2 linked regions of the Arabidopsis thaliana genome follow. The protein of the gene in region 1 interacts with the protein of each later gene in a pairwise test. Each region holds a gene or a part of one and is shown in the gene's direction. Other genes may lie near its edges. The genes, in order: AT1G16260 and SUC2.

What was found.
Region 2: the proteins of AT1G16260 (region 1) and SUC2 interact in a protein complementation assay, tested with the Arabidopsis thaliana proteins (one large-scale study listed by BioGRID).

Annotation. Positions count from the first base shown.
Region 1 is NC_003070.9:5,558,824-5,564,237, reverse strand, and holds AT1G16260 (Wall-associated kinase family protein), read left to right. Parts: upstream 1-2,045; 5' UTR 2,046-2,219; coding exon 2,220-3,069; intron 3,070-3,149; coding exon 3,150-3,254; intron 3,255-3,322; coding exon 3,323-4,530; 3' UTR 4,531-4,740; downstream 4,741-5,414. Other genes in the region: AT1G16270 (kinase superfamily with octicosapeptide/Phox/Bem1p domain-containing protein), read right to left, coding at 1-348.
Region 2 is NC_003070.9:8,029,776-8,034,798, reverse strand, and holds SUC2 (sucrose-proton symporter 2), read left to right. Parts: upstream 1-1,642; 5' UTR 1,643-1,828; coding exon 1,829-3,085; intron 3,086-3,230; coding exon 3,231-3,294; intron 3,295-3,581; coding exon 3,582-3,625; intron 3,626-3,714; coding exon 3,715-3,888; 3' UTR 3,889-4,212; downstream 4,213-5,023. Other genes in the region: AT1G22700 (Tetratricopeptide repeat (TPR)-like superfamily protein), read left to right, coding at 4,921-5,023. UniProt on the Arabidopsis thaliana protein: Responsible for the transport of sucrose into the cell, with the concomitant uptake of protons (symport system).

The DNA of each region.
Region 1 (5,414 bases):
CTCATACTGCCTGATGCCATTTCCCACCATGCTCATCCTGGAAACATCTGAACCAAATTCAGACCCTGCGTGCCCGTTATAACCTGTGGGATAATTGATATCTCCAGCTGCAATGGGATTTGCAGACCTTTGAGAAATGACACGATCACGCAGAAACTCAAGAGAAAATTCCTCTCCTGTTTGTATGGAGTAATGAAGCCCCGGCTTAACATCTGCAGGATTAGGTCGGACATTTGCATTCGAGAGACCCGTTTGATCAGGCGTAAATCCTTGTGGGACAGAGTCATTCACATATCCAGGTTCCATAGCATGTTGCTGGAACGGATGTGGTGGTCTGTTTCTATCCATCACAACAACAACAACAACAACAACAACAACAGTCCTTCAAATTATTCTAACTGACAAGACCTGTAACAAGAATCTGACATACTGAACTATAAAGAATCACTGCTAAAACTTTAAAGATGCCAAATTGCTTCAGAGATTGTAGGCTACAAATTTCCCCTCCCAAATATTTAAGCTGCAAAAAAAAACAATTGGGAGAAATAATTAAGTTTTGGCAGAAGTTGAATCCTCCAGAAACTATCAATTAAACACAGACTACTCATCAAAGTTCTTCCCATTTGCAATTGTAGATGAATAATCCGACCAGAAAACTCCAAAAACATGCTTTTTGTTCCAAAAATGGAAACTTTCTCTACAACAACCTTAAATCAATTAATCCAAAAACCTCAATAGAAGTAATTTAAGAAAAACAAAACCTTCGCTCGATTTGAAAGATTTCACCATACCAAATCGCTAAAATTAGCTTCAGACACCAAAAAAATAAAGAATCAGAAAATGGCAAAGAATCCAAAACTGATAGAACAATACCACAAAGAAAAAATGTAGAGCTTGACAGGTGGAATAGATTCAAGAAGGATTGTGAGAGCTAGTAACAATCAAAAACTATCTTCTTCTCTTTGTTCAAATCTAAGAATATGCATCAAAACCCTAACTTTTTATTTTTATCTTTATTTTTGTTGATTTTCTCTCACCTTCTCTAGGTTTCCTCGTTGCTTACTCAAAAAATGGTAAAATCTGCTTAAAGAAATGATAAAAATGACCAAATTGCTTCTTTTTTTTTGTATTGTAATGGAAAGAAAAATACAAAATGGTTCGTGTCCGTGCGACTCGGTTGCTTTATAACCAGAAGAAACGAGAACCGTACATCTATCGATGTTGATGAAAAATAGACGGCGGAGATGAAAGAAGAATAAGATTTTGGGGGTGAAGGAGTAAGTGAGAAGCATGGAATCAACAAGTCTCTCTCCGTAGCTTATGTTATACGGTTTGCATTAAATGGGACTCTCAATATCATCAGATCCTAAATGAAATTTAATGGAAATTAGAAGAACGTGCGTATGGATACTTTCAATCTCATTTTCGTTATAAAGTTTCTCTCTTTATATTTCCTTACGTAATGTTTTTTTTTTCCCCCACACGAATTGTCATTTTCTGAATTCCATTAATCTGATTCCATTTCAATTTGCATTGAATTCAGTTTCGGAAATTTCATTTCAATATGCTGTGGGATTTTTGGCCGCTACAAGTAAATGTTTTTTTTTTTTTTTTGTCGACCGCTACAAGTAAATGTAACCATCCCAATGTTTATTTTGGTTCGATATCGAATTTTAGGCCCATTTTTAAATTAAAGGATAAAAGGACCATGACTAATTTTGGGCCCATTTTGAAATTAAAGGACCATGACTATGGGCTCCTTTGTTTCATTAATTGTCACCCAAATAGTGATCTATATTTTAATGAAAAAAATCTCAAGTACCGGCATATCCATTTTAAAACGTTCTGCTTAATGAAAAACTTCGTCTCACAGTAAAAACTAAAAACTCTTGTGTTTCGTTTGAAGAGGCTCAACATGAATATCTTTGGCATTTTTCGTTTTGTTTTGATAAAGAATATCTTAAAACATTTAATTACAAACATTATCCTCTTTTTTCGTGGTTTCTGCTGTATCTACGGAGCCCACTACTGAAATATGTTATGGCCTCAATTCATATGGGTCAAGGTCTTCGTTGATGTATCATGCAAAATTAATATAAAAGTGAAAAGGTTGACTCTTGACTTATCTGTGTTAGAGAAAGAGAGAGAGAGAGAGAGGTGTGCCTGAGCCTGAACAGAACTTCTGGCTCCTGAAAGAAAGAGAGAGAGAGAGAGAGCAAATGGGTGTTGATGTGAAACGTTTCCTTGTTGTTATGCTTCTGTTGCGAATCTGTGAATACGCAGCTGCTTCTACTTTTCCTCTTGCACTTCGTAATTGCAGTGACCATTGCGGAAATGTTAGTGTTCCTTACCCTTTTGGGATAGGCAAAGGTTGTTACAAGAACAAATGGTTCGAGATTGTCTGCAAAAGCTCATCAGACCAACAACCGATACTTTTGTTGCCAAGGATCCGACGAGCAGTTACTTCCTTCAACCTTGGAGACCCTTTCTCCATATCGGTGTACAACAAATTCTACATCCAGAGTCCATTGAAACATTCAGGTTGTCCCAACAGAGATGGTTATTCATCATCGTCTTTGAATTTGAAGGGCAGCCCATTCTTCATATCAGAAAACAATAAGTTCACAGCTGTTGGATGCAACAACAAGGCGTTCATGAATGTCACAGGGTTACAAATCGTGGGATGTGAGACGACATGTGGAAATGAGATACGGTCTTACAAAGGAGCTAACACGAGTTGTGTTGGTTACAAATGCTGCCAGATGACTATACCACCTCTTCTTCAACTTCAAGTGTTTGATGCAACCGTAGAGAAACTGGAACCAAATAAACAAGGATGTCAGGTTGCCTTCTTGACTCAATTCACATTGTCAGGGTCCTTGTTTACTCCTCCCGAATTAATGGAGTACAGTGAATATACAACAATAGAGCTAGAATGGCGTCTTGATCTTTCCTACATGACTTCAAAGCGTGTACTATGCAAAGGCAATACATTTTTCGAAGATAGCTATCAATGTTCGTGTCACAATGGTTACGAAGGAAATCCCTACATACCTGGCGGATGCCAAGGTACCTATTAACTTCTTTGAATAGAGGGCTTGAGTGTACTATATAACCTTATGTGAAGTTTGGAATTTTTGTGTCCGTAGACATTGATGAATGCAGAGATCCACATCTAAATAAATGTGGAAAGAGAAAGTGTGTGAATGTTCTCGGATCATATAGATGTGAGAAAACTTGGCCAGCCATTTTAAGTAAGTTATATAATGTTTCTGCATAAGCCTTTTTAGATTGAAAGTGAAAAGATCAACTTACAATGCAGGTGGAACTCTAAGCTCTGGATTGTTGCTCCTGATCTTTGGTATGTGGTTGCTATGCAAGGCTAATAGAAAGCGGAAAGTAGCCAAGCAGAAGAGGAAGTTCTTCCAAAGAAATGGAGGTTTGTTGTTGCAGCAACAAACATCCTTCCTTCACGGAAGTGTAAATAGAACCAAAGTTTTCAGCTCCAATGACCTGGAGAATGCAACAGATAGATTCAATGCGAGCAGAATACTGGGGCAAGGCGGGCAGGGTACAGTTTATAAAGGAATGTTGGAAGATGGGATGATCGTCGCTGTCAAGAAGTCCAAAGCATTGAAAGAAGAGAATCTTGAGGAATTCATCAATGAGATCATCCTTTTGTCACAGATTAACCACCGAAATGTTGTCAAGATCTTAGGATGTTGTCTTGAGACAGAAGTACCTATATTGGTGTATGAGTTCATTCCTAACCGTAACCTTTTCGATCATCTTCACAACCCATCAGAGGATTTCCCAATGAGTTGGGAAGTCCGTCTCTGCATCGCCTGTGAAGTCGCCGATGCCCTCTCCTACCTGCATTCAGCCGTCTCTATCCCCATTTATCACAGAGATGTCAAGTCAACAAATATCTTATTGGATGAAAAGCACCGTGCAAAAGTGTCAGATTTTGGAATCTCGAGATCTGTTGCTATAGATGATACTCACTTGACAACAATTGTACAAGGAACAATTGGATATGTAGACCCAGAGTACCTTCAGTCAAACCACTTCACAGGGAAGAGTGACGTCTACAGCTTTGGGGTTTTGCTCATTGAGCTCTTAACCGGAGAGAAACCTGTCTCCCTTCTGAGACGGCAAGAAGTCCGAATGTTGGGTGCTTACTTCCTCGAAGCCATGAGAAATGACAGACTTCATGAAATTCTCGATGCTCGCATCAAGGAGGAATGTGATCGAGAAGAGGTCCTTGCAGTAGCCAAACTTGCAAGAAGGTGTTTGAGCTTGAACTCAGAACATCGCCCTACCATGAGAGACGTATTTATTGAACTAGATAGGATGCAATCTAAGAGAAAAGGTACTCAAAGCCAAGCACAGAATGGTGAAGAGCATGCACACATCCAGATCGCAATGCCGGAGTCTATGTCACTTAGTTACTCTTCTCCGAACATAGTCGTTGAAAACAGCTCATTCTCATTGGACACAAAACCACTAATGCCTCACAAGACACAGTGACTGGAAAAGTAATACTCTTCACCTTCCAATATATAATACTTCAATATAGAATGATATCCAATCAAACTTGAAAGTCTTATTGCTCGTGTGATTGTACTCCGTAATTTCATCTAATAGTTCCTCTATACGAAATTTATAAGACTTTAATTATATGTAGCAAATCAAGGACAAAAACGAGACTAAAAAAGAAGCAAACTATTTGTATCACTCTTAATTTATCATTCAAGTGTTTGGTCTATACACATGATACACCTTGGTGTAGGTCAAATGAACACATAACAATCACTAACACTCAAATACACTGAGATATAACATGAATCTTATTATGTACAAGTTTAATTCCAAATATGAGTGACAGTAATGGCCTGACCACGGCCGGTAACCTTCTTGCAGTAATCATATCATAGGATGACAAACTGAACTCATTCACATAAAAGTGGAAGCCTTTACCTGGAAGATAAATGCATTATAGGTTGACTTCTTCGGTAACTACTTCCCTTTAAAACAACTGTTTTCACCCTCACGGTTTCCAGTTAGCCTCAAGTGTCCAGATGTCTGTGCAGTGAGTATTACAGCAAAAGCTTCCACTTTCACAGTGGGACCAAGGTCTTACTCAGAGAAGGAACACACTGATTCCATGAATATTATTGGAAAATAATTTAAAGAGTGTCAGAAACCCTTATTGGAAAATACGCAACCATAATCAACTGCAAACTAACACACAGCTAAGTTTATGGCTATAATTGGAGTTTCCATGCAAGCATGAAAAAAAAAAGATATGCTAAATTTCAGTCTATCTTATTTTTGTACATAAGCCAAACGACACTTCTGTAAAAGAAATGATCATATAACAACGTGAACTTACTTGTTTGTAAAAAGACAAC
Region 2 (5,023 bases), 2.5 Mb from region 1:
ACACAAGACTATGGGAATGATTTTACCCACTAATTATAATCCGATCACAAGGTTTCAACGAACTAGTTTTCCAGATATCAACCAAATTTACTTTGGAATTAAACTAACTTAAAACTAATTGGTTGTTCGTAAATGGTGCTTTTTTTTTTTGCGGATGTTAGTAAAGGGTTTTATGTATTTTATATTATTAGTTATCTGTTTTCAGTGTTATGTTGTCTCATCCATAAAGTTTATATGTTTTTTCTTTGCTCTATAACTTATATATATATATGAGTTTACAGTTATATTTATACATTTCAGATACTTGATCGGCATTTTTTTTGGTAAAAAATATATGCATGAAAAACTCAAGTGTTTCTTTTTTAAGGAATTTTTAAATGGTGATTATATGAATATAATCATATGTATATCCGTATATATATGTAGCCAGATAGTTAATTATTTGGGGGATATTTGAATTATTAATGTTATAATATTCTTTCTTTTGACTCGTCTGGTTAAATTAAAGAACAAAAAAAACACATACTTTTACTGTTTTAAAAGGTTAAATTAACATAATTTATTGATTACAAGTGTCAAGTCCATGACATTGCATGTAGGTTCGAGACTTCAGAGATAACGGAAGAGATCGATAATTGTGATCGTAACATCCAGATATGTATGTTTAATTTTCATTTAGATGTGGATCAGAGAAGATAAGTCAAACTGTCTTCATAATTTAAGACAACCTCTTTTAATATTTTCCCAAAACATGTTTTATGTAACTACTTTGCTTATGTGATTGCCTGAGGATACTATTATTCTCTGTCTTTATTCTCTTCACACCACATTTAAATAGTTTAAGAGCATAGAAATTAATTATTTTCAAAAAGGTGATTATATGCATGCAAAATAGCACACCATTTATGTTTATATTTTCAAATTATTTAATACATTTCAATATTTCATAAGTGTGATTTTTTTTTTTTTTGTCAATTTCATAAGTGTGATTTGTCATTTGTATTAAACAATTGTATCGCGCAGTACAAATAAACAGTGGGAGAGGTGAAAATGCAGTTATAAAACTGTCCAATAATTTACTAACACATTTAAATATCTAAAAAGAGTGTTTCAAAAAAAATTCTTTTGAAATAAGAAAAGTGATAGATATTTTTACGCTTTCGTCTGAAAATAAAACAATAATAGTTTATTAGAAAAATGTTATCACCGAAAATTATTCTAGTGCCACTCGCTCGGATCGAAATTCGAAAGTTATATTCTTTCTCTTTACCTAATATAAAAATCACAAGAAAAATCAATCCGAATATATCTATCAACATAGTATATGCCCTTACATATTGTTTCTGACTTTTCTCTATCCGAATTTCTCGCTTCATGGTTTTTTTTTAACATATTCTCATTTAATTTTCATTACTATTATATAACTAAAAGATGGAAATAAAATAAAGTGTCTTTGAGAATCGAACGTCCATATCAGTAAGATAGTTTGTGTGAAGGTAAAATCTAAAAGATTTAAGTTCCAAAAACAGAAAATAATATATTACGCTAAAAAAGAAGAAAATAATTAAATACAAAACAGAAAAAAATAATATACGACAGACACGTGTCACGAAGATACCCTACGCTATAGACACAGCTCTGTTTTCTCTTTTCTATGCCTCAAGGCTCTCTTAACTTCACTGTCTCCTCTTCGGATAATCCTATCCTTCTCTTCCTATAAATACCTCTCCACTCTTCCTCTTCCTCCACCACTACAACCACCGCAACAACCACCAAAAACCCTCTCAAAGAAATTTCTTTTTTTTCTTACTTTCTTGGTTTGTCAAATATGGTCAGCCATCCAATGGAGAAAGCTGCAAATGGTGCGTCTGCGTTGGAAACGCAGACGGGTGAGTTAGATCAGCCGGAACGGCTTCGTAAGATCATATCGGTGTCTTCCATTGCCGCCGGTGTACAGTTCGGTTGGGCTTTACAGTTATCTCTGTTGACTCCTTACGTGCAGCTACTCGGAATCCCACATAAATGGGCTTCTCTGATTTGGCTCTGTGGTCCAATCTCCGGTATGCTTGTTCAGCCTATCGTCGGTTACCACAGTGACCGTTGCACCTCAAGATTCGGCCGTCGTCGTCCCTTCATCGTCGCTGGAGCTGGTTTAGTCACCGTTGCTGTTTTCCTTATCGGTTACGCTGCCGATATAGGTCACAGCATGGGCGATCAGCTTGACAAACCGCCGAAAACGCGAGCCATAGCGATATTCGCTCTCGGGTTTTGGATTCTTGACGTGGCTAACAACACCTTACAAGGACCCTGCAGAGCTTTCTTGGCTGATTTATCAGCAGGGAACGCTAAGAAAACGCGAACCGCAAACGCGTTTTTCTCGTTTTTCATGGCGGTTGGAAACGTTTTGGGTTACGCTGCGGGATCTTACAGAAATCTCTACAAAGTTGTGCCTTTCACGATGACTGAGTCATGCGATCTCTACTGCGCAAACCTCAAAACGTGTTTTTTCCTATCCATAACGCTTCTCCTCATAGTCACTTTCGTATCTCTCTGTTACGTGAAGGAGAAGCCATGGACGCCAGAGCCAACAGCCGATGGAAAAGCCTCCAACGTTCCGTTTTTCGGAGAAATCTTCGGAGCTTTCAAGGAACTAAAAAGACCCATGTGGATGCTTCTTATAGTCACTGCACTAAACTGGATCGCTTGGTTCCCTTTCCTTCTCTTCGACACTGATTGGATGGGCCGTGAGGTGTACGGAGGAAACTCAGACGCAACCGCAACCGCAGCCTCTAAGAAGCTTTACAACGACGGAGTCAGAGCTGGTGCTTTGGGGCTTATGCTTAACGCTATTGTTCTTGGTTTCATGTCTCTTGGTGTTGAATGGATTGGTCGGAAATTGGGAGGAGCTAAAAGGCTTTGGGGTATTGTTAACTTCATCCTCGCCATTTGCTTGGCCATGACGGTTGTGGTTACGAAACAAGCTGAGAATCACCGACGAGATCACGGCGGCGCTAAAACAGGTCCACCTGGTAACGTCACAGCTGGTGCTTTAACTCTCTTCGCCATCCTCGGTATCCCCCAAGCCGTAAGTATCTCTCTCTCTGTTTTTTTTTTTGTTTATCCATTGGCTAATTATTTTAGTACTATATCTGATTTGTCGTTTATAATAAGGAAAGAAGTAAATCAATAACCTAATTTGATGAATTTTTTTTCATTTTTATTAACTGCAGATTACGTTTAGCATTCCTTTTGCACTAGCTTCCATATTTTCAACCAATTCCGGTGCCGGCCAAGGTAAATATTCTATTTTTGAGCTTTTTATTTAATCTAAAATTACCCTTTTTGTTTTGGATAATCAAAGTCGACAATCTTCTTAAAGTGTTGGGACCTAAAAAAGCTAAAAGCATTTAATACGTGCAGATTCGTAATTTAATAACTTATTGAGAAGATTCTATAAGTAACCAATATTTATATATTCGTTTGAGTGACCATATATACGCGATATACCAAATTTACAATTTCTATAGCCTACGAAAATTTGTAATCTTGATTCCTAAAGCTTTTTATCTTTTCTTCCACAGGACTTTCCCTAGGTGTTCTGAATCTAGCCATTGTCGTCCCTCAGGTAAAAACCCGTTTAAAATCAGTTTTACTTATTTTCATTTAGGAAAAATTATGACTAATATATATATTTGGTTTCTTGGTTAAATATAGATGGTAATATCTGTGGGAGGTGGACCATTCGACGAACTATTCGGTGGTGGAAACATTCCAGCATTTGTGTTAGGAGCGATTGCGGCAGCGGTAAGTGGTGTATTGGCGTTGACGGTGTTGCCTTCACCGCCTCCGGATGCTCCTGCCTTCAAAGCTACTATGGGATTTCATTGAATTTTAGCAGTGGTTGTTTGGCTCTCTTTCTCTCATAAAACAGTAGTGTTGTGCAAATCCTACATAAAGAAAAAAGAAAAGGAAATTAAACTCATTGGGTTGGTTTGTATTTTACCTAAACCCACGAAGTTCCTTTTTCTTTTTGTAACTCAATTTAAATTTGGAGTATATTTTACTTTTTGTTACCTTCAAGGCTTCAATATTACGACTTCATTGTTCGGTAATAAATACCTCATAAGCTACAAAAGATTATGTAACGATTTAACACAATTATTTTTTTAACAAACAAAAACAACGATCTAAACAGTTCATATTAACTGATTTGATAACTTATTTCACAAAAAAAGTATATGCGAAATACTTACAAAATATCTTTACATTTGATTGTACATATAAAACCAAAACAAGTTTTAAGATGAATGTGGCTAGATACAAAAATTAACGGTGAAATAAGAGCATTCTCGATTTATATGTTTTGTTTTTATCTATTTTAGTTAATTCTTTAATCAAGTTGTTTCACATTTGTTTAACCTGATTTTCCCGTTTCCAATGGATAAACTCGGATTATGAAAGTAACTTGATGTACATGTTTGGTAAGCTTATTGGTCAAAGTATGACAAGCCTTTTCCCCTAAGTATGATAAGTTTTGGGAAATTTTCAGAAAGCACACTCTTTTAAGTTTTAGTTTTTAGATGTATATAACATAACTAATAACATGTATCAAAAGAAGTTTGGAAGAGTTTCTTAATTATTTGTTAAGGTTCTTCCTATATATATATATTCTGAAAAATTCATAAATCTTCCCTAATTAAATAAAAAAGATCCATTAGATAAAACCAAAATGAAATAATATGTAGATTTAAACCGGAAGGTACTAAACCGGAAATTGGAAGAGGCAACGTGGGCCTTATCTTCTTCTTCTTCTTCCTGCTAGATTTTATTCTTTTATCTCTTGAGCACACACACACATACAAGACTCTCCTCACAGAACGATTTAGATTTAATCGGGAAAAAGTTCAGTCAGTGACACTAATGTTCGAATCGAACATGGTTCTTCAAACACTATCTTCTTCTTCTCCTCCAATTCACCGTCTCTATCTTCACCATTCTCAGATTCTCCCTTCTTCTGGGTCAC